3 linked regions of the Sus scrofa genome follow. The protein of the gene in region 1 binds, or shares a complex with, the protein of each later gene. Links are inferred from orthologs where the notes say so. Each region holds a gene or a part of one and is shown on either strand. Other genes may lie near its edges.

Region 1 (8,471 bases):
AAACAGTAATACATTTGTAAAGTTCTCCAAACCCAGGTTGCAGGAACCCATTTAACTTGGTGATAAATATCTTAGGCAAATAAATATTCTATCTTCCATAATGACTCTGGCAGAACTAAGTTTTAGTCTCCTATCCTCCATGGTTAATATAAAGTCAGGACTTTTTTAAGTAGAAAAAATAAACATCCCAGGCCTCCCTAAATATTCTACCAAATAACTTAACAACCATCTATATTTTCTATTCCCAACTACTTCTGGAATGATCCATGACTTTATTAACTGACTAGAGATTCAAGTTCCATAAACAAACCCTTCCAAAGATGACAGAAAATTCAGTCTCCTCTGTTGTTCAAAAATAATCTTCAGAACATATTTAAGAAAAAGGAGCAATTGAAATGATCATTTTTTAACAGAAAAGAGTGACAAGAAAAAAAAATCAGAAGTTGCTCCTCAAAATGGCTTTTAACATTAGGGAAACTTTCTCATCTATTCACCAAAAAATACTGCAAAAGAAGAAACGTGACTCATTTATACAGAGTTTTCTAATGCCATTCATGTTAAGCAATGAATTGTCCACGATTTCCCTTAAAATCATCATAACCACAAATAGTGAAAATCAAAACTTCTGGTGGCTAAATCAGGTTCTACCAACACAGTCTCAATACATAGTTCTGGGAAGCACTCCTTGGTATTATATTTGTGATAATTCAGTTGTTCTCATGGCACCATGTCAAGATGTCTTAAATAGTGATTTATTATTTCTCTAGAGTATCAAAAAGCTGCTGACCTAGGAGAGTTTGACAAAGGCCTTGTTTACAAAGGAAGATTTCTAAAAGAAAAAAAAAAACATGAAAACACTGGGGAATGGCAGCTTTTATAATAAATGAGTCTTCTCTTTTATGGTCTTGTTGCAATACATAATAAGCCTTTAAAATGAAATGTCAAAATATTACCGTAATATAAGGGGTATATTACAATTATCTCTAGAAAAGCATGGGATGTGCTTTTATGCTCATCTGTAAAATAACTTATCTTAATCAAAGAAAAAAGTTTTAAACAATTATTTGTCAGAGTGTTACTTTCTCTACTGTCAGAAATAGCTTAAACAGAATCCAAACATTAACAGGCACAGAGGCACTTACTTTTTTTTTTTTTTTTTCTGGTCAATTCCAAGCCTCAGGTGTTGGTCAAAGCACTTTTTAAGAAACTTGACAAGAAATGCTCAAAAACCACTTTAAAAAAAAACGAACAAAAGAAAAGATCTAAGGCTGCTTTGAACACACTCTTGCGGTGAATATTTTCTGTGAAACACCACAGTGCAGCTAGTCCCAAAGCTGGGATGTAACTGGTGTCACTCAGGAGAGAAAAGCTGCATTGAAGGGAGCATTTCCTCACTTCTGCCAATTCTTTAAGGGTTCTGATACCACAAACTCCTAATTTATTTCACAATGTTCTTCAAGATGGGTTTTCTCTCTAAGGCCCCCAACAAGGAAGAGAGGAGGCTGTCTACAGGTTGGTTTTTTCCTTCAAGTCACATCAATAAATACCTTTTGTACCTTATGGGTATTTCCAAATCCTCTCTTTCTGGTAGCAAGTATTTGAGCTGTCAGGGAGCATTAAAAAAAAAAAAGTCCAAGAGAATAAAAGGGCAATTAGATTCCTAAAAGAGAAAGTGTGCCTCTATTTGCATAACAATGCACTGAGGAGGATTCAAACCTGACACACCTCTTAACATTTCACCAGTGTGCTAGAAATAGGCTTAGAAGTCTACCAAGTGGAGTGTTGGCAAACAAGCCTGGGGTAGTGGTCCCCCCTATAAGTGAGGGGAAATATTACTGAAACATTTCAATGTGCACATATAAGAATACACAAGCAACTGCTAGGCATGGTTTCTATTTTAGGACAGCTCTCAGAGATTTCTGAGTCTTACCTAGATGATGAGACAGGAATTTTCTTCCACTCAACATGCAACAATCTTTCTGTCCCTATGAGCATTCTCTTCCTACAAGCATGGCACAGCCAGGTGTAAATTAAAAAGTCCTTTGAAATGGAAGTTTAAAATTTAACTCTGCTATTGGTAATGCAGAGACAGTAAAAAAATAAAAAATAAAAAAATAAGCACTCAATGCAGTAGACAAACGTGTATCCTTGAAGTCTTTCTTATGCTCTAACATCACACACAGTTAGGAACACAATCTACAAAATAACCAGGAGATACCGATGACACCTCTCCATAAAATACTCACCCAGGTGGCTTTGCTTTAGCACAAGCACTAACCTCCATCAGGTGAAGGGGGGTGGAGGCGACAACCTTGCAAAACTCTCCCAGAAGTTATATAAACAAAGAAGGGAAGAAGCCCAGTATGGGCTTTGCACCCATGTGCTACTAAAATTACATAACACCCGCTGCAGACATTAAAGAAGGCATGGATTCTGCACGACACCCCCACTTCCCTCGACCCCCCAACCTGTCTCCTGCTTTTAAAAAATCCCAAAGCCTGGCAGGATCAAGTGGGCGATTTTGAATATTAATTTTATTCCTGGAGTAAATCCTGCGAGAGTTGCAAGCGCGTTTAGGCCCGAAGTTTGAATGTGCAACAGCCCCAGGGCGCCGCGAATCTACTCTGGACCGGGAGGAGAAAGGACTGACAAGGGACAGCAGCCAGTGCGGCCTTTTTCTTCCCCTTGTTGTACCTCCCGCTGAAAAGTTTTCCAAGCGATCGATCTGAGGGCAGGGACTGGGTTTCCCCAGCCTGCCTGACTTTGCAGGAAAGGCGAGCCGGGAGACTGGAGGGGGCCGCCGGGAAAGAGGTGGAAAGCTCCACACTCGGCCGGCGGCGGCGGCGCAGGCTCCTTACCTGGGGGACGCGGAACAAAAAGAGGCACTGGGCTCTGCGAGCCTACAGAGGCGGCGCGGCCGGCGGCCCGGAGCGGGTCTCCCCGCCGGATTCCTAGGCCCGCGCCGGAGCCCGCCGCCCGGCCCCCGCCGCCACTGCCGCTGCCGCTTCCTCCCTCGCGCGCGTCATGTCACGGCGATCAAACATGTCTGTGTGCGCTTCGCTGCTGTGACTTCCTGATTCTCTGCCGCTCGCCCGCGCACACTCACACTCACAGCCACACGCACACGCCACCCCCACCATCCCCCGCCACCAAACCTCGCCTTGTCCTCCTCCGCTCCCGGGCAGGGCGCGGGCAGGAGCGGCTGCCCGCGCCACTGCTCCCAACGCACTAGCCCCGGCGCGCACAACACACACTCACACTCACGCGCAGACACACTCGAGCCGACCCCGAGCGGAGACGCGAGCTGTGGGAGCTCGCTGCTCCCTCCCACCCTCCCTCCCTACTTAGCCTCCCTGCCAAACTTTTTTTTCCAGCTTGATCCACGTCCAACTTCCCTCCACCCCGCCACCCCCACCCCCCTAGCAGTCCGGCCAGCCCCGCGCTCACCAGGATCCGCTGCAAACTGCAACCCGGATAAAAATAATAATGCAATCCAGGCGGCAGGGGCGGGGGCGAGCGCGCAGACATAGGCAGGAGGCTATTTCCCCGCGTGTACCGGAAACCGACCCGAGTGCCGGGAGTCAGACGCTGGTGTCCCTCTTAAGCCCGCACTGTTGCACCCCGCCCCGCGCGGTGCAACTGCGCCAGGCTGCAAGGCCTGCTGCGGGGCACCCGGGGCGCCCTGCTTGGTGTGCGCCCGCAGACGGAGGGCGAGTAGGGGCTGGCGCGCAGGACTGGTTATTTGGGGAAGTGCATCGCGACACCTTTGCAGATGGCATGGCCGTGTTTTGCAACGCAAACAGAAGGAGGGAAGACGGCCAGATGGAGGGGGAGAGCGGAGGAAGGGGTAAACCAGGTTGGGATGGGAATAAATCAAACTCGAAAGCAAGGAAGGAGAAGGAAGGGGAGCGTGTCATCATTGGGAGGAGGCTCCCACCCGGTCTCCCCGCCTCCCGCCCTCGCCAGCCACCCTATCCACCCCCCACCCCTCAGCCCTTCCCCTTCTCAGGCGAATGCCACCGCCGCTGCCGGGTGCGCGCGGGTCCTGTTTGTGACAGTCAGGCAGAGAGGATTATCCGGATCATGGCCTCCCCGGCCCGCAGTCACCGTGGCTCTCCCCGGCCCCAGCGCGCCCCTAGCACCCGGATGATCACCCGCGACCCACGCCCTCGGTTCCCGCGGCTCAAGCTAGGGGAAGGCGCAAAGCAAAAGAAAACAAACCCGGGAAGGGAGAGGGCGGATAACTGAGCCCGGCGGGCACCTCCGACCTCCTTCTATCCGGCCTCTTCCCTCCCAGCAGTGCGGCCCCGGCCGGACACCCGAACTTCAACACCCGAGCCCGCGCGGCCGCCAGGTACCAGGACGTCCGTAGTGCCCCAGACACAGCCCCCCAGCAGCCCTTTTGCCTAAAGGCCTGCCTACCGGTCAGCGTCCCCATCCCCGCCCGAGGGAACGCGCAAAGTGGAGGTGACACCTCAGATCCCGCACGCACCGGCCCCGCGGCGTTGACTGCCGCCGCTTTGGCGCGCCAGCTCCGGCTTCTCCCGCCGCGATCCTCTCGCGTCTCCGCAGCCGGAGCCCTTTAAACAAGTCCCCAGGAAGCGGGTGTCAGCCGCGTTCGTTGGATCCCCGCCGGCAGCCCGGGCTTCTCGCCCTCCTCTCCTGCTCTCCTTCCAACTCTTCCGGGGAGGACTGCTCTGGAAGAACTGTCGCGTTTCCATCCTATTCCCCCGATCCTCCTGCCTCCTCCCTCACCACCCCAGCTTTTAAGGGAATGGAGGGATTGCAACCTTGCCGAGTGTATGTGTGTGCTACAACCTTGAGTTGGCAGTGCATCGCTGACTGCCTACCTAGGGTCAAGGCTGTGTTTTGGTGGGATTTTCCTCCCCTTGCCTCCTTTAAGTAATAATTATTACTGTTATTATCAGAACAGTAAGGTTCGGTTGAAACTTTCCCGTTCCTTCCACCGCTGCCCGGGAGCTGTTGTTAGAGCATTCCACCTGAGGCCCGCGGGGAGGAGGCGGGCTTTTTTTGTTGTTGTTGTGGCGGTTGGCCCGCCTGTTTGTTTTGGTCTCCGTGCATGCACAATAAATAATAATTAGGATAATAATGAACGATCCCCGGCGAAGGCGGCGCGGTGCCTGAGGGGTTTATGCGGCGTCTGCAGCCGGGAGGCCAGAGGGAGGGGAAAGAGGAGAAAGGAGTTGTAAGTTATATTTACCTTGCTCGCGAGGAGTGTGCTGGCTGAATCTCTTTCCTCTCTGAGTCACCCAGAGTACAGAAACCGAGGGAGAGAGGACTAGATTATGAATATGACTTCATTGATGACAGCCATCCCCTCCTCTTCCTAAACTCCGGCTCCGCCCCGTGTCCCACCCTCGCCGCCTCCTTGGGCGCCGGAAGACGCGCCGCTGTTGGCCCCTCGCGCCGCTCCTCCCTGCCCGCCCGGACGCGGGTTGGCGGGACGCGTCTGTCACTCGCCCCGCTCAGCGACTCCCTGAGCTCGGGGGGTGGGGGGGGAGCGGAGGGGGCGGTGTGCAAGAATGTGGATCGAGACAGCTCTACTGTATGCGTGGATCCGTGTGGGTTTGCAAGGCGCCGGCTCTGAGCTGTGTTTGCGCCTGAGCAGAGAAACTGCGCAGGATGCGGAAAGCCCAGAGCCTTGACGGAGTTGGGCGCCCGTTATCCCATGCTGACAGTCTTCTCCCAGGGCCGCTGCGAGGCTCCTCCCGGGACGCTGGGAAGGGGAGGAGGCAGCGAAAGGGAGGGCAGCCGTAGTAATAGCTCGTAGTAGTTTGGGGGTATGTAAAGAAGGTGCTGGAATTTAACTGCGCCTCCGCCTGCCTGAGCGAGCCTGCAGAGGGAAGGGGAGGGGGCGACAGGGTGGGGTGGGCGGGCGGTTCCGAGTGGCACCAAAGCTGCTTGTGGCAAGGTATTGGCCATTTAAAAAAAAAAAAAAAAGAGGCATCGATGTCCCGCACGAAACTTTTTCTCTTGCCCCCCCGCCACAAGGCTGTAATTATAAATCTGTTCCCTTTCTCTCCCGTAAAAAGGAAGGCGGGCACAAAGAACATTCCTGCCAAAACTGTCTTTTTTTTCTAAAGGACTGCTAGCTTCCAAACGCCAAAAAGGGAAAAACAGCTGAGAGGCTGAATGCCTTGTAAATAAATAACACCGCCCTAACCCCTCTGTTTACTTTGTGGACCAGACACAGCACTTTAACCTTTCCTCACCTGTCATCTTCGCGTAAAATATATACAAAAATAGGTGAAAACAACCTCGTGGGGGCAGGGCGGGCGAGTTAGGGGGCAGTTGAAGCATGGAATCTGCTTTTGATTTAAGAAGGGGAATAAATCTCTTTTTCTCTCCAGTCCATAGTCTCTTGGCCTCCAGGCCACGTTTAAGACCAGTTAAGCCTACAAACAGTAAACTGCTGGCACTTAGTAGTTTTGAGACCTCTTGCTCCAGTTTTCCTTGAAATACAGTACTTTGGCTGGACTAACAGGTCAGTGTTTGCTGAGACGATTTTATTTTTAGTTTTATGAAGTGTGAAAGAATGTTAGGAGATTTTAAATCAAGGACCTATTATTTTAGACTCAGATTAATGTAGGCGCTTGACTCTTAAATTAAAACTGTTCCTATATGGTAGTGTTATGATTTATCCCTTATTTTGTAATGTAATGGCTTAAATTAGTCATTCAAAGTACACTGTGACTATCTGGTTGAGAGTTTTCCCCCCAGAGTAAAATCCTGTTTTAAGACCATTTTAGTGTTGCAAAATTGACTATTTGAGCTATGGGTCTGAAATACAGTTCTAGGATGCTTAAAACTATGTACTGGCTAAGTTGAGGACAAGAAGCTGTGGATAGAACACCAGCTGCAATGTGCTACGTGTGGTCATTAAATGTCAAGAATTGTTTCTGTTGCTGGTCCATTGCTGTAGAAGGAGTCTGCAAGGGCACCATTTTCAAGTGGCAAGGAGTGTCAAGGATCATGAACCCTGTAGTCTTCTAAGGCTTTGCTACTTGCTTGTTAACTTGAGCTTCATAATTTTCTGTCTCTCCCAAAGTGAACCTCAGGACAACAAAAGATAACCCATCTAAGAGAAATAGAATATAGTATTCCCTGAAGAATCTATTGTAAGAACTTGTTTTTCTGCCTGAGGATATGCCAGTATAACTCTTAACCAGGCAAGACATCTTAAACAAAATTTGCAATGTAGTAAAACTACAACAGCCAACTGCTAATAAATTGCAACTAATAATATAGCCAGATAACCCAATCATCTATAAAATGGTTTTAACCTAATGGTGACAGAGCTTAATACATTAGGTAATATAAGCTTTTCATTTGGGCAGGATGGAAGGGGGTGTGGCTTATCTGTTTCCCTGGCAAGCCAGCCTCACATGCCAATTTTTCAGAAATTGATGACTTCATCTTTATTTCCTTGTGAATAAGTGCCCTTTATCCCATTAAGAATCCACCTTCACCTGCCATGCCAAATTTCAAAATGAGAACAATCATCTGAGCAAGAGACTGGCCATTTCTTTTGGCATTTTGTCAGAAGGAAAGTAAAGAAGAAAACGCTCCCTTTGTTACATGTGTACATTCTTCAGTTCATATAAAATTTTGATGCAGTACTTGGAGGGATTGGTATCTATGCATTATCTGCACAAATATGGGAATAGAAAAATAAAATCTATCACTGGAAGAAGACATTAAATATAGATATTGCATCTCCCTTTCCCTTCATGTTGGTCTAAGGAAGCACCACCATCTCCCTTCAGGTCTTTCCTCCAAGGAATCTTGTTGTTTGTAGCTTGCACTGAAGCAAGTAGGAATTCTATAAGATAAGGCTTATGCTCAGGAGAAATGGAAAGGCAGTGCCATTCACTCAATATGAAGAGAAGATTGAGAAGACTGTAGAATGTATAGCGTGAACTTCATCTCCTAGGGAAAGCAAAATTTAACAATGATTTTAAGGAGGAACATGATGAGTTTCTTTTGTTTTGCAGAAAATCACACAAAAGCAAATAGAATAGGAGGCTAAACAGACTCCAGGGAGGTGCACAGGATGCTATATACACATGAAGCTTTTCCTTTTGGACTCTGTTGAGTCATAAGGTGTTCTCTGAACTTTTCTTTTCTCCTTCTAGTTTGACCTCAAGAAAGAGAAGTCATTTTTTTTCATGTCTGTATGACCACATTCAATTTGTTACGTAAGCCTGCCGTGTTTGATGTCCTGTATAGAGTAGATTTGGGGTTTGAAAACTGACAGCTAGCTCAACACCCTCATAAAGAAAAATTCCATGCACAACAAGGTCAGGAAGCTCCTAGTTTCACCAGGCGAACTGTTCATGCTGGCTGAAATGTGGCCTGCCTTCAAAGAGGGGCAAGTAAGACCATTTAGGGAATGAGTACTTCATCTACAGTAATGGAAACTAAACTTTGACAAAGTGAATCAGCTGCCA
Region 2 (7,814 bases), about 220 Mb from region 1:
AGAAGGAGCCACACAGTATGAAATTCTAAAGCGAGAACTCCTCAGAGGAAATCCTTTACAAAGTCAAAAGGAACAAAACACAACGCTAGTCATTCACGTTCTAGGGCAGTTCAAGTTCTACAATCATTACAATGCACACTGAACACCTAGGATAAAAAGGACACCAAGAAAACCCTAGGCTGACTTCTAAAAAAGCATAATGTTTTGTTAAACCACTTAAAAATGTTCTTACCCAACAGTCTTCATCTTGAACAGAGGGAGAGATGGGGGGCGGAGCAGGGAGGGACAGGGCGGGAGACGAGACAGACAGACAGAGCTTTGCAGCATTCGCTTCGAGATGCCACAGCTCGATGTAAAAAATACTTTGTTCATTCAAGCCCTCCGAGCTCCTTAAGAAGCCGCACGGCCACATCCAGGCCCGTGCAGCGGAGACCAGTGGCTGGCTGGGAAGCTGGACTCCGGGTGCCAAGCCCCCCGGAGGCTAATGGGACAGAAGCCAACGTGCGTCTGACAGAGACAGTGTGACTTGGTAGCAACGTCGAAGTTTCACTACTGACAAGACAATTAAAATACTCTCCCTAAGAGTTCTCAGCGTCTCAAATAAAAGGCTCACAACACACTTATCTTCCTGCTTGAAAAACAACCAAAGATGGTGAGACTTTCACGGGAGCACTAGTACAGATTTTAATTACATACTTATAATGTAAGCCTGAATCCTAACAACTAGGCTTTAATTTCAGGTTAATGTAACCTAAACGATACTGTCCTACAAATTAAGGGCAAAAGCACTAGTGAATCTTACTAAGCAAGACATCAGATACATTACAGGTTTTCTTAACTCCCGTATTTTAAAAGACATTTATGTATGACCCTCAGCTTGAAGTACCCTAATATCTAGGCACATCTTGGCTTATTAATACTTTTCATAAAGAGGTTAACTTTTAATAAACATGTTCACATTAATGTATTAAGCTAGATACTGGTTGTTCCAAACTTTGAAATACATGAAACATTTTTAGGTACTAAAAATGTTCAGAGAAGATTATAAACTGTGCACTTTGCATATCAGACTCCCTTGAGTATATCAAATTAGGTTAAGCTATATGATTTCTTTACCTTAAATCAGTGACAGCATTGACTAGTTCTTCACTTTCAGCCTCCGTGAAGTCGTCTATTGCAAAACCCTTTTTTTTAACCCATGATTAATCCAGGCTTCCTGTCGGAAAGGTCTGCTCGGCGCCAACAGTGTGCTTCTGGCTGCAACTCCCATTCTCGGCGCTTCTCGGGCCAGAAGCACACCTAGCACACAGCAGGCTCACTTTCCGGTGTTTAATCTTTGGAGTGCATTTGCTTTTAATTACGAAGCAGTAGCTTAAATATTTATCTTAAAAATTAGATAAGCTGTATCTGTAAGAACAAGAATGAAAACTACATGACTGAAGCCCTGAAGGTGCCCTTATTGCTGCAATGGGCTGAAACACACGTCTCGGAAGCGGACCCCGGGGAGGCCTTTTCTAGGGAAGTTCGGAGCCCGCCGACCGAAGCTGCCCTTTCGCTCCGGGGAGAGCAAGGGGCCAGGCTGCTGGAAGGGCCCGTGGCCGCTGAACCTGCTCCCCCAGATGACACACCAGAGTCCCCATCTGACACACTCAGGGCTCCAGCAACTCCACTCGGCGAAACGAGTTCATCGCCTTACTCTAAAACGCGCCTTCAAAACACCTCCATAACCAGCCGAGAGTTCATGCTGATACGCAGCCCACGGAAAACTGTGTGTTTTCCTACTGCCGCTGCAGCTGCCGCTCCTCCTTCTCCAATATTCTAAAGCCCCCCTTGCGAATAAGGCGACTCCCTCCCCGCGGCCCTCTGCGGGCAGGATGACACTGCTGCCGCCCGCCACCCGACTCCGAGGACAGCCAGCCCTAAACGCTCACGAGAACATCGGAGCACATCACCGAGCAGCCCAGGCGGGGTCCCGACGGGCCACATGCCCAGCTTGGGCTAAAACAGCACAATGCCCACAGCACTTCCACTGCTCTGCAGCGCAAGGGTGGCTGCATTTGGCAGACGAGCAAATGATCCTTAGACTAAGCCCAGATCTTTCTTCCCGGCCGGCCACAGACAGGCCGCTGGTCGGGGGCTCCCCACCCGCCACCTGCTCAGCTTCGCTAAATACCAGGGTGCTTTCAACTCAGACGGCTACGACTTTCACCCCAAGGCAACAAAGCTTCAGGTTCTGCCTGTTAGATAACTTCTCAAAAGCTCAGACCTGCCTGGTCACCATTTAAAAGAAAAAAAGATTCGCTCACAAATTGTCCACGTACAGAAAAGAGACGCTCAACCCCAGCCCAAGTGATAGGAAAGCCACCAGGCACACAAAGCGAGAAGGAAGGAGGCTGAGGGCCGGGCGCAGGACGCTCGGCGCGGAGCCGTCAGGGGGACAGGCTGGCCAGCAGGGAGGCGGGGTCGGGGCTTTTTTCTTCTACCTTGTACCCGGGCGCAGCCTTGCTCGGCGCGGAGCGCTTCGCGGCGTCTTTTCTCGGCGCGGCCGCCTTGTCCCTGGGCCTCTGCCGTCCCTGTGCCGGCTCCTCCTGGCCGTCGGGGAGGCCCTCGCCCTCGGACACGTTGCCCGAGGAGCTGTCCTGCAAGTCAGAGGCACAGACAAAGGTCCCTTGCACACCTGCTGGTCCCGGTCTCCACTGCGGACACCACAGAGGACACTGGGCTTCCGTCGATTAAAAGATAAAAGGATAATTCTAACCGAAGAAAACGTTCGCCAGCGGAGACTAAAACGAGTCCAGTTAAACACCACTGTCCTCGGAGCAATACGTCATAGCATAAAGCGAAGTCTATGCACACCCGCAGGTGCCTTATTCGACTTTGTTTTCGGGAGTTCCCGTCGGGGCGCAGCGGAAACGAATCTGACTGCGAACCCGATGAGGTTGCGGGTTCGATCCCGGCCTCGCTCAGTGGGTGGAGGATCTGGGGCCGTCATGAGCTGTGGTGTAGGTGGCAGACGTGGCTTGGATCTGGAGCTGCTGTGGCTGTGGTGGAGGCCGGCGGCTGCAGCTCTGATTCCACCCCTAGCCTGGGAACCTCCGTGTGCCGCGGGTGCGGCCCTAAAAAGACGGGAAAAACTCTTTGTTTTCAGACTTGAGTCACCAGGAACAGAACTACCTGCTCCAGCTGCTGCCACGCCACCCAGCTGCACAGCAGGGCACATGTTCGTTTCACACACGGTCTTTAAAAAGAAACTAAGAAACTGCCCCACGGACGTGCAGGTGTTTTTACCAAGTAATGGAGGTCCCGAAAGAAGTCCTTCAAGCCCACAAGGGCGTCTTGGTAACGTTAAACTCCGCGGGGGCCGGTGTCACCAAGTATTTACAACAGTATCAGACGTACTTCACGTGTTCAGAGTTTCGGAGTTGGATGATTGATCATTTAACTCTTCATTTCTTAATTTAACATTCCCTTTTTTTTTTTTTTAGGGCTGCACCTGAGGCCTATGGAAGTTCCCAGGCCAGGGGTCTGATCGGAGCTACAGCTGCCGGCCTCCACCACAGCCACGCCAGATCCTTAACCCACTCAGCGAGGCCAGGGATTGAACCCTCGACCTCACGGTTCCCAGGTTCCCAGTCGGATTCGTTTCCACTGCACCATGACGGAAACTCCTTAACTTAAAATCTTCTAAGTAGAATAAAAATGTTATGTTCATATAAATTATGAAGATTATAAATGAAAACGTCAGGTTATCCGCAGGCGGCTTGGGAGACACTGAGACAGCTCACAGGATGCATGTGTCGCCTTTTCCTTTTCCAGTGACGTGCTTGTTCACACAGCTACCCACGTTCACACTCACACACACGACCTACCTCCATGCGTGCCCTCTTCTTTTAAAGCACAGAAGTGAATTACCCTGTATGTGTGGGCATGTGTGTGTGTGTTTCAACCCTAAGTGTTATGTGCACTTCCTCACACCATTAGACACTCTTTGAACTGCACTTCTACTGTGTAACAGACGTTAGACTTCCAATTCCCACTACAGAAACTACTGTTAACACTCCAATGAATATTTTTTCCTAATTAAACTTTGTTACCATCTGATCAGATTCTTCAAATAAAATCCATTCGCCTATTTGCCAAGTCAAGGTCTGCGGAAGTTAAAAATCTTGGTAGGGACCGGGAAAACGCCTGGCCCCAAACTGGCTTGGCAGCTCTTCTCCTAGCGGTATGGGAGGAAGCCACCGCGTCTCACCCTCAGGACACCCCGGCTCCCCTGAGCCAAACAGCAGAAGACGGGCTCTCACCGCTTTGACAGCGGAGGCGCAGGTTACGTTACGCAACAGGTACCGTTAAACACGCCCAGAAGCTGGCCGTTAGGAGGAAACTCAGTGCCCAGAAACGGTGGCACATTCTCAGGTTCAGGTTGGCTGCAGAGAAAGTGGGAAATGGACAGATGCAGAATTCCCTGGTGGCCAGCAGGTTAAGGACCCAGCGTTGTCACTGCTGTGGCTTGGGTTCGACCCCTGGCCTGGGAACTTCCGCATGCTGCAGCCGAGCTAAAAAAAAACAAAACCCAGAGTTCCCATCATGGCTCCGTGGGTTATGAACCCAACTAGCATCTGTGAGGATTCAGGTTCGATCCCTGGCCTTGCTCAGTGGGTTAAGGATCCGGTGTTGCTGTGGCTGTGGTGTAGGGCGCAGATGCAGCTCGGACTCCACCCCTAGCCCGGGAACTTCCACGAGCCGAAGTGGGGCCTGAAAAGAAAGGGAAAACAAAACACAACCCTGAACGACCGCGTTTGTTCTCCTTCCTTCCGTCCCACCTGGCACACCGGCATCCCCACTGTTCTGCAGCTGCACTTGCCACAAAAAGAAACTCATGCAAGACACCCAACAGCACAAAACGCTGGTAACCTTAACATTTTCCCAGAAGAGGCCAGTGACGGTTGCTGAAGCAGCAGGAACACCGCTCACGTGCTCCCCCAACCCGCACATCAGTACGGGGCTGTTAAGTGTCTGGGCCCTGCCCAACCCACTGGTGAAGACCACGGAGGGGCAGCTTTCAGGACAAAACCCGCCAAAGGCCACGCACCGCTGGCCCGTATCAACCCATAACAGTAACTTCCCCTGATGGAAGACGCTTTCTGGAAATCATACACAGCGATCCTTTTTCACAACAAGCGTGGTGATGCTATTTCAGCTTGCCATTCCAGGAAAGCCAAATTCAAAGGGAAGGAAGCACCTCCTCCTGAGAGACACGTTCTTACCGAAGTGCCTTTGTCCTTCCGTCTCTCATCGGCCCGACCATCCTCGGCTTCATCTGAGTCACCGTCACTATCGAGAGCCGGCAGCTCAGGATCCAGCGGGGGCTCGTAAAGCGCTGTGTTTAATGGCAAATAGCGCAGCTCATCCGGAGAGTACCTGAAATTCAAAGGACTTTGTTTTCCTTTATTATTCAAAACGTGTGGACCGATTTTGAACGACGAAAATAACCTTCATCTTTTCAATTAACCCCAAATGTTTTTGAAAAATGACTGGAGGAAATAAACGTTTCATTTTGGTTATCACATTGGACAAGTCATACATAAAGTCAAAATGTTTTCCACCCGACTAAGTAAGGCAGACATTTGACTGCTGTTGCCCGAAGCGAACGCGTCTCTCCTTCACCCATGGCCCTTCAAAGACATCAGCAAACCAGGACCGACGGCGACGGCGACAGCGACAGCACGGAACGGGCACAAAACCCAGGCTGCCCGAGGGCCTCTGCCCGGTCGACCTGCAGAGCGAAGAGGGGCGTGAACCGCTCGGGCACCTGCACAGCACAGCAGCGCGTGGTGCGTGCTGGCATTTAAGAGGCAAGATCCTCTGACGAATCACTGTAAACCAATTTATGAGGCATGTATTCTCACGAATTCAACCATCTATTTTATCTGAAACTAGGGACCAGCAGCCCCTCCCCAAGCTGGCGGGCACAGGGCCGCTGCCCATGTCCGTGCCACCCCCATAGGACCAGCGCTCCGTCTCAGGCCAGGAGGCAGCATCCTGGGAACCCCCGTCAGGAACGGACACCGGGTCAGCATCTCCCTCAACCAAGACACCCCAGACGGCAAAGACGCTGGTCCATGGACGCGTCGCTCCATCATTTACACAGCCCCCAAAGATTCAAAATCGGCTAACCCATGGAGCTCCCAACCAGTACCCATGAGGATCTGAGTCTGATCCCTGGCCTCGCTCAGTGGGTGAAGGATCGGCACTGCCGTGAGCCATGGTGCGGGTCGAAGACGCAGCTCAGATCCTGTGTTGCTGTGGCTGTGGTGGAGGCCGGCAGCTGCAGCTCCGATTAGACTCCTAGCCTGGGACCCTCCACATGCTGCAGGTACAGCTCTAGAAAGCAAGACAAAGTGCTGGCCCATGATTTAAATCCGACTTTCAAAAAGCACTATCCTAGAGTCTACTTTCAATACTTGTCGAAAGAATATTCTCCATCCCAAAGAACATAAGGTTTCTCATGCAGCAAAAGCTGGGGTGCCGGAAGCCCTGTTTTCGGTTCCATCCAGGCTGGGAGGGAGGGACGGGGAGCGGAGGCAGCAGCCAGGCCAGGGCAGTGACGCAGCAGGAGCCCCAGGTGGCCACCCTCCTCGCTCGCGTCCGCATCTGGGAAGGCCTGGGCTGTGCCCGGCAGTCCGCCTTCCCACTAAGCTCCCAGGTGACACAGGCGCTGCGGGGCCAGGGGGCCATCCTTTCAGGTGGGAGGTCTAGAGAAGCCCTGGCACCTGCCCACAGACACACCCCCAGGCAGGCAGGTGTTCCGGTTCTGACACAGGCACTCCTCTCCACAGAGGCACAAGCGGAAGCTCCCGACGCACGTCCCACCCCACCCGAGTGGCAAACACAGGGCTTCGCAGCCCCCGGCAACTCCCAGGGCAGGGCCGCCACCACCGCCTACCTTTTGTAATATTCCTGGAACTGTCCGGGGATGAGGGCCACCGGGTAGGAACTGACCTTGGTCCGCTCCGTCGGTAACACCCTGTACTGCCCTTGAGGCACCTGGATGACCTGTGAACGTGAAGAGAAGGGCGAGCCTGATGCCACGCAAGGAACCAAAGCCTCGCGAAAATAATCCGCTGCCTCCCTCCCCCAAAAGCTAGACACAGGGCCACACGGGGCTGGAGCCTGAGGGCGGGGCACGCCCAGTGGCACCGGTGACCCGTCTGCTCACCAGGGAACGGCAGGGTGACCTGCTACCCTAGACCTCAGCCTGCAACGTCCTCATCTAGGAAAAGAACCACTGCTCCTTCCAGCCTCCCGGGGGGACAGGGACGCTGGCGTCCACCCACGGACACGCGCGTGGCCAGCTGGCTCCTAGTCTCCTTCAGGAGACTGTCCACCGAACGCCAGAGGCACCCCCCCACCACGGGGGCACCGGGGACAACGGGCGCCTGCAAGTGACAGCCCGAGCCCCAGGGAGCAGGACGCCCCGCGGGCACAAAAGCGCCGCGCGAGGCGCTGAGCCGTCCACACAGCGGGCGGGCGGCCGGCCGAGCGGGGCCTACGTGCGTCTGCAGGTCGAAGTACGCTCTTCTCTCCTCCATCCGCTCCCGGTTCAGGTGGCTGTTGAACTCTGCGGCCTTCCTGGCAGCTTTCTTAATGTACTCGGGCACTTTGCTGGCTTCAACTTTCTGAGTGTTCTGTTGTTGCATTTGCTGAAATAAAAACACGACAGTGCAAGGGACTGTACCCTTATAACCTGGCACTTCCCCAAACCGCAGGCACCGGCCCCCTCAACACCTACCGAATACTCCTTGTAATGATCC
Region 3 (7,401 bases), on another chromosome or scaffold:
TGGTGGGCTGCCCTTGCTGACAGCTGCCCGCCCGCTCACCCGCCCCTCGCAGCCTAGGCGAGGACTTCTACCGGGAGGCCATCGAGCACTGCCGCAGCTACAACGCGCGTCTGTGCGCCGAGCGCAGCCTGCGCCTGCCCTTCCTCGACTCGCAGACCGGCGTGGCCCAGAACAACTGCTACATCTGGATGGAGAAGACCCACCGCGGGCCGGGTACCCACCGGGAGGGCGGGGGCGGGGCGGGGCGGGGCGGGGCGGTGGCTGCGCGGCCTTGTTCTTACCGCCTTTCTCACGCCAGGTTTGGCCCCGGGGCAGATCTATACGTACCCCGCCCGCTGTTGGAGAAAGAAACGGAGACTCAACATCCTGGAGGACCCCAGACTCCGGCCCTGCGAGTACAAGATCGGTGGGTGGAGCTTCGTCCTGTGCTCGGGGTGGCTCCCATCAGTGCCCACAGCACGCTTGCTAAGTGTGTGCTGATGCTGATGTTGTCTGAGCGTTCACCTCTATTCCCCTCCCAAAGTGTCTGAGTGGCTGGCTGTGTGTCTGCCAGTGTGTGTCTGGCTGTAGTCCAGAGCTTCCCCGGTTCTCCCTGAGTGACTGAACTTTGGACTGTACTTTCTCCTGACTGGGCCCCAGCCTATTCTAGGACAGAGTGGTATCTGTCATGTGTGTGCAGGTGTATCCAGTCTTTGTATCTCTTCCTTGTGGGCTGTATTTCTTTCTGTGGATGTCTGAATGTGTCTGGATGTGTGAGAGTGTTTGGTCGTAACTGTCCATTTGTAGTAGAGTGTATCTCAGTATTTGTGTCTCTTTTCAGGTGTTTCTAAGTGTATTAGAAGGTTTATTTCCTCTTGCGTGTGTCTGGTTTGAGGGTCCAACTGTTCCTGAGAGTCAGTGTATCAGGGTGTCCAACTGTCTCTTCCTTTCAGTGCCAGATGCTTTGGAAGGTCTGGGAGAAGCTCTTCCCCAAGTATCTGATCCACTAGGTGTACATGGGCTGCCTGCCTCCTGAGTCTCTGGCCTTAGCACTTCTTGACTGTGTCCCCTACTATTAGATCACTGGCTGTTTCTCTTTCCTTGTCCAAGTAGATCCAGGGTTCTGTGTGGGGCCAGGTGTATTGGAGTGTCTATCTGGCGGTGTCTGACTGCCCCAGAGGGACTGTCTCTATGTCCTATGTGTGTGTATCCACCCTGGTGACTCTCTCTAGGTGTGTCTCTGTTTCCCCTAAGAATGTTCAGGTGTTTGCTAGGGTCTGGCTGTGTCTTCCTCTTGTGGGTCTGGGCATATCTGATGGTCTAATGGTCCCTTTCTGAGTGTCTCTGGGTGGACCCAAGGGTCTGGATATTTTCCTCCATGGGTCCAGGTGTATCTGAGCATCAGGGTGTGTCTCTTCCCTTGTGGGGCTGGCTGTCGCAGATGATCCATGTGGAGCTCCCTTGCGTGTGTCCCCGTGGGTCCTGTTTGGGTGTCTGTTCTCTCCAGGTGTAGGGGTCTGGGTGGAGTCTCCTATACGTATGTAGGTATATCAGAGGGTCTGGCCACATCTCCTGCTGAGTGTGCCCAAGCGGCTCTGAGGGTCTGGCTGTGTCTTCCCCAGGGTCCAGTCCCCTTTCCAGTGCATGTGGTTGAGTCTCTGAGTCTATTGCCAGTGGAGTGTGGGAAGCCTCTTCCCACCAGCAAAGAGCATGACTCCCCAGCCTGGGCAGTGTGAGGAGTCCTCTGGGGACAACCTCTCCACTTGACCCCACCCCCACCCCCATGGCCTCATCCCCAGACTGTGAGGCGCCCTTGAAGAAGGAGGGTGGTCTCCCGGAAGGACCAGTCCTTGAGGCTCTACTGTGTGCTGAGACGGGGGAGAAGAAGATAGAGCTGAAGGAGGAGGAGACCATTATGGACTGTCAGGTAGCCCCCCCAACTCCCACCCCGGCGGCGCCCCCACCCCGGTGGCCGCAGCTGCCTTCTCACCCCTGCCTCCTGCCCCGGCCCATCCCATTCCTGCTCTGAGATCTCCACTGGCTCCCTAGGTCCTTCAGGCATCCTAAGTCTCCATCCTTCCACACCTCATCTCTTTTTGGGAGACCTTCTGACTTGCCCTGCCACCCCCAATCTCCTCTATGCAGAACCATCCCCCCAAAGCAGAACAGTGTCCCGTTTTCTTAACCCCAATCTCCCTTCTCCTGATGCCCAGAAACAGCAGCTGCTGGAGTTTCCACACGATCTCGAAGTGGAAGACTTGGAGGATGACATTCCCAGGAGGAAGAACAGGGCCAAAGGAAAGGTATCACCCCAAAGTTTCTGCTCCTCACCCCTCCCCTCAACGCGGATCCCATTTATTGAGGCTGCACAATGTTCAGACCCTGCCCCAGTCTGATCTCATTTAATCCCCAGAGCAGCCTCAAGGGGTAGGGGATTTTTATACCCATTTTGCAGATGAGGAAATTGAGGCGTGGATCTATGAAACCATTTGCAAAATATAGACTGCCCAGTGGGTTAGAACTATCCTCATACCTGTACGACTGATCGAGGTCAAGGGAGTTACTCAAGGCCCACAGTTAGGTAGCGGCAGAGCTGTGATTTGCATTTCCGGCCCAAATGAGGAAAATTCTTTTAGTTTGCTCCTTTTCTTGGCCCCTCACTCCAGACTCTTCCCCAGGCATATGGCATCGGAGGTCTCCGGAAACGCCAGGACACCGCTTCCCTGGAGGACCGAGACAAGCCGTATGTCTGTGATAGTGAGTCCTTCTGAAGAGGGGGGAAGAGAGAGAGTGGGGCCCAGAGACCTGGCCCCTCCCAGCCCCCTCCCTCCTGTTCTGGACCCTGGTGGGGGGGGATGCACAGGCCTCTGGCAGAGGGAGGAGATGTGATCCCGGAGGCCAGGGTGGAGGCGGCATGGGCTGGGAGGGGGCTGACCGGCCCTCCCTGCTCACTCTTCAGTCTGTGGGAAACGGTATAAGAACCGGCCAGGGCTCAGCTACCACTACACCCACACCCACCTGGCTGAGGAGGAGGGGGAGGAGAACGCCGAACGCCACGCCCTGCCCTTCCACCGGAAAAACAACCATAAACGTGAGCAGGCGGGCAGGGCGTGGGGTGGTGAGGGGCCCTGCGAGTGGGGGCTAGCAGCCCGGGAGGGAGGGGGCACGTTAGACATTTCTGGAAAAGCCCCAGCTCAGCGGTCCCCTCCCCCCACCGACCATGGGGATGCTGGCTCTGGGGTTGCCATGACAACCAACCATCTCTCCCTCGCTCCCGGCCGGGCGTAATATTTCTGGGTCTGATTTATTGTTTCAATTAGAGCTTGGGGAGGGGGGTGATAGATGACTCCCCTCCGTCCCTGCCTCCCTTTCTCCGTTCTCTGCTAAGCCTGGGCCAAGGGGCAGGGTCTGTGGCCCGGGAACTCTTGGTGGCTGCCCATGCCAGTCCGGTGCCAACCCTGACAGCTGAGGGATGGGGGAAGGCTTGGAGCAGGGAGGCTGTGCCAGTGGAGAAACCATCTTCCCACCCATCCCTTGGCGGGAGAGGGCACTCTCTTCATCTCATCCCCACTACACACCCAGCCACCTCTGTGTGCAGAATTTTCCTCCTGAAATGCCTGTTTCCATATGAGATCTTGGCCAGTGGGATCTGCCTAATTTTTATTTTGGGGCTTTGTTGGGGGTGGCTGTCTGGTAGAAGTGTGTGTGCGTGGGGAAGTGGGGGGCTCTTCCTAAAGCTGTATCTGCCAGGCTTTTACCTAATAAAGAGGATGCAGCAGTTGTGCTCAAAGAGTTGGGGGGTCCTGATGAGAATTATTTGTTCACAGCTTGGGGTAGCCACTCCCTCTCCCCTCCCCCTCCATGCCTGGACAAGGGCTCCGCCCCTGGGGCTGAGGCTGGGGGCAGGGTGGAGCCTTGCCTATGGTGAGAGCCCCTCTCTCTGTCCCCCCCACCCCCAGAGTTTTACAAAGAATTGGCCTGGGTCCCCGAGGCACAGAGGAAACACACAGGTAGGGACGCTTCCCCCCGCCCCGACTTTTGCAGCAGCCTTTGACCGAATGCCCCTGCCTTGCCCACGCCAAGCCCTGCCCGCTGTCTTTCAGCCAAGAAGGCACCTGACGGCACTGTCATCCCCAACGGCTACTGTGACTTCTGCCTGGGTGGCTCCAAGAAGACGGGGTGTCCCGAGGACCTCATCTCCTGTGCCGACTGTGGGCGATCAGGTGATGCCCCCACCTGAGGCTTCTGGGGGCCAGGGTCCAGATCTGGAGGCTAGGAGGTGGAGGAGTGAGGACTGGGGGGGATGCAGAGCATCTGGGGGACCCCGAGGATCACTGCTGAGCATGACGGGAAACAGTGGGTTCGGGGAGGCTCTGGGAATAAGGGGCTGTGGTGGTTCTGGCGTTGCGAGTACTGCTACCTGCTTACCATGGCGTGGGGAGCAGTAAAAGAGGGTGGCCAGAACCTCGTGGGGAGCGGGCTGCGATAGCAAGTCATGGATTACCACTGCCTGGGTGTTGTGGATGACTGAGAGCGCTTGCCACCGAGGTGTGGTTAATAGAAAGCGGTTTCCCGAGGTGGACCTGTGGGCAGTAGCCTGCGGTTGCCTCAGCACGGTGGCCAATGAATCGTGGTTGTTATGGTATTACGGGCAGTGAAATACAGTTGTGACAATTGGGTGTAGTGGAAGGTAGTTGTCGTGGCCCCGGGTAGCGGCTGGGTGTCTGCACGGGGGTGGGGGGATGGCCAGGGGGTTGGCCCACTGCATAGTCACGTGGGTAACGGTGTGGTGGTTGGGGCATCATGTGTAATGGGCTTGGGTCGCAGGGAACCAGAGCGTGGAGACCCCTCTGTGGAAGGCGGTTGCCATGGCATCGTGGCTGGGAGGCTGGGGTTGCCACGTGCCCGCGGTTCACAGGGCGGGCTGGCCATCCTGCTGTGGGTAATGGAATGCAGCTGCTCAGCGCAGTGGTTAACAGAATGTGGCTGCCCCGGTGTTGTGGGTGGTGGAAAGGGGTTGCCACAGCACTGTGGGTAATGGAATGCGGTTGCCATGGTGTTCTGGGGAGCAGAGTGTGGTTGCCATGGTGGCTGGGTAGGAGACTGGTGGCCACGGCAGCACTGCCTGAGGGACGGGCACTGGGCACCGGGGCTGGGTGGGGTCAGCCTGTGGGCCTTGTGAGCCAGGGGTAGGGGCTGAGCCATTTCACTTCCAGGGGTCAGTAGCCACCAGGGGCACAACGACCCCTAACCGCATCTCTGCCCCTCGGCCCCCAGGACACCCCTCGTGTTTACAGTTCACGGTGAACATGACGGCGGCCGTGCGAACCTACCGTTGGCAGTGCATCGAGTGCAAGTCCTGCAGCCTGTGTGGCACCTCCGAGAACGACGTGAGTGCCCACCCCCCTCCCCGGGACACGCCCCCGGAGCCGCCTCCCTCCAGCACCTCCGGCTTTGCCAGTTGGGTCTAAAGCCTTTCCTGAAGCCCCCTCCCTGGTGAACCCAGTAACCTGTACCATGATTATTAGTTAGTGTCCATTAGTTGAGCCTGGCACTTACTACTCTTCACTCTCCGACTCCTCCCAACCACCCTGAGGTAGAGGGAGGGAGCTCAGAGAGGGGAGCAGACTTGCCCAAGGTCACCCGGCTAAGAAGATGGCACAGCTGGGACCTGACACCGCATCCATTGCTTCTGACCGCCCCAGTGTCATTTTCAGTGTGCCATAGAACCTTAGAAAACCCAAACGACAAACCGCAAACTGACAGTCCTCAGGGGCGTTTCACTCACAGGGTTTTGCCAAGATGACCTCCTCAGAGCCCTCTGTCCTGGAAGGGACCACCTCCCCCAGCCCCTTTGACCTGTCCCCTGCCCCAGCCCCCCCACCCCGGTTTCTGGTACCCGTGCCCCCAGGGTGCCAGCTGGGCGGGTCTCACCCCCCAGGACCAGCTGCTGTTTTGTGACGACTGTGATCGGGGTTACCACATGTACTGCCTGAGTCCCCCCATGGCGGAGCCCCCAGAAGGTGAGCGAAGAGGAGGCCTGGGGGGGTGGGGGAGGGTTGGCAGGTGGACTTCCTGCTGGGGAAGATGGTGCCCGCCGGTGGTGGGCGGGGGTGGGGGCAGCCGTGCCCAGACCCAGGTCTTACTCCCTGTCCTCGGGCCACCCTACAGGGAGCTGGAGTTGTCACCTCTGTCTTCGGCACCTGAAAGAGAAGGCCTCTGCCTACATCACCCTCACCTAGGCCTGCTCTGGCTCACCTGGACCTCTGGGGTGGTGCTTGCCTACCTGAGTCTCCTCCCGGAGCTCCTCCACTCTCTCCCCATCCTTAATGCCCCACAGCGGGAGGGGCGGGCGAGCCTGAGGGGGGCGGGGCCACCCCCTCCCCTCCGTGCAAGTGGAATGCTTGCCCTGTGGGTTGGTGGGCCCAGCTGGGCCCTCTCCTTCCTCCCTCCTTCCCCACCCCTTGGCAAATGGGCACCAGGGGCTTCTGCTCCCCTCAAAGCCATACCCCGCCTCTGGGCGGGCACGAGGGGTGGTGGATGCCAGCTGGGGGCACGGACATAGCCTTTTTCTAAAGAAAAAGTCAAAAAGTTAAAAAAAAAAAAGAAATTAATATATACAAAGAGTCCTATAAGGCCTGGCTGGGTGGAGGGGGGTTGCCGAGCGCATCTCCTGGGCACCAGTCTATGCCAGCTTCCTGCCTGGCGGCCCCTCCCTCCCAGTCTGCGGCACTGCAGCTGTCCCACCTCCCCACCCAAGGTGGGCACCATTCCCTCCTTGTACGCAGGGCAGGTGGTGTGGTGTTGGCCCCCCACCCCCTTGGTGCCCACCGTGGATACTGCATGATGTGAACCATGGTTTTGAGCTCTGTTCCCGCTCCCTCCCCAGAGCCCGGCCCGTGCCCACTCCGTGCTGCCATGGCTGGCCGCCGGTGGGGCAAGGCGGGCCCCTGCCCAGCGCCTGCTGGAACGAGAAGCACAGACTCTGCAAAGGACTAGATTTTTCCCCGCCCCAATTCCCTACCGGCCAGGCCGGGCCGCCCCCTGCCACCCTCGCTGGCCATTTTCGGGGTCTCGAGGGGGCGTGGTTGTTTCTTGTGGTTGTGTTTGTTGTTTGGGTTTTAAAAAAAAGGGAAAATGAGACTGCAAGTGGGGGAGGTGATGGGTTTGGGGGGGTCTCCTCCAATCCAGGCGTGCCCCCTCCTTGTAAACGAGTCTCCTTTATTGCCTGCCTCTGCTGTGAATTAACTTGTTCTGTGTATTAAACTGGGCCTGACCCCTCTGCCCACGTCTGCCTCGTCCTCCAGGCCGGTTTGGGGCGTCACCAAAACTGGAGGTGGGGCCTCACTGGGGGAGAAGCAACTGAGGTTAACAGCTGGAGCTGGCCCCTACCTCTGGCTCCCCTCTGCACCCCGCCTTTCT

The links.
Region 2: SMARCA2 (region 1) and PHF10 share a complex: the UniProt entries of both Homo sapiens proteins name them as parts of the neural progenitors-specific chromatin remodeling complex. The link is inferred for Sus scrofa from reciprocal best matches to the Homo sapiens genes SMARCA2 and PHF10.
Region 3: SMARCA2 (region 1) and DPF1 share a complex: the UniProt entries of both Homo sapiens proteins name them as parts of the neuron-specific chromatin remodeling complex. The link is inferred for Sus scrofa from reciprocal best matches to the Homo sapiens genes SMARCA2 and DPF1.

The regions. Positions count from the first base shown.
Region 1 is NC_010443.5:219,810,063-219,818,533, forward strand, and holds the start of SMARCA2 (probable global transcription activator SNF2L2), read right to left. Parts: upstream 5,360-8,471; 5' UTR 5,222-5,359; intron 4,581-5,221; exon of another isoform or gene 4,423-4,580; intron 3,750-4,422; exon of another isoform or gene 3,448-3,749; intron 3,316-3,447; exon of another isoform or gene 2,859-3,315; intron 1-2,858. UniProt on the Homo sapiens protein: ATPase involved in transcriptional activation and repression of select genes by chromatin remodeling (alteration of DNA-nucleosome topology).
Region 2 is NC_010443.5:565,306-573,119, reverse strand, and holds part of PHF10 (PHD finger protein 10), read right to left. Parts: coding exon 7,793-7,814; intron 7,704-7,792; coding exon 7,554-7,703; intron 7,057-7,553; coding exon 6,947-7,056; intron 5,422-6,946; coding exon 5,268-5,421; intron 2,640-5,267; coding exon 2,484-2,639; intron 1-2,483. UniProt on the Homo sapiens protein: Involved in transcription activity regulation by chromatin remodeling. Belongs to the neural progenitors-specific chromatin remodeling complex (npBAF complex) and is required for the proliferation of neural progenitors.
Region 3 is NC_010448.4:47,141,872-47,149,272, reverse strand, and holds the end of DPF1 (zinc finger protein neuro-d4), read left to right. Parts: intron 1-52; coding exon 53-213; intron 214-298; coding exon 299-406; intron 407-1,778; coding exon 1,779-1,906; intron 1,907-2,192; coding exon 2,193-2,282; intron 2,283-2,657; coding exon 2,658-2,736; intron 2,737-2,938; coding exon 2,939-3,070; intron 3,071-3,938; coding exon 3,939-3,989; intron 3,990-4,082; coding exon 4,083-4,202; intron 4,203-5,256; coding exon 5,257-5,369; intron 5,370-5,890; coding exon 5,891-6,002; intron 6,003-6,150; coding exon 6,151-6,221; 3' UTR 6,222-7,267; downstream 7,268-7,401. UniProt on the Homo sapiens protein: May have an important role in developing neurons by participating in regulation of cell survival, possibly as a neurospecific transcription factor. Belongs to the neuron-specific chromatin remodeling complex (nBAF complex).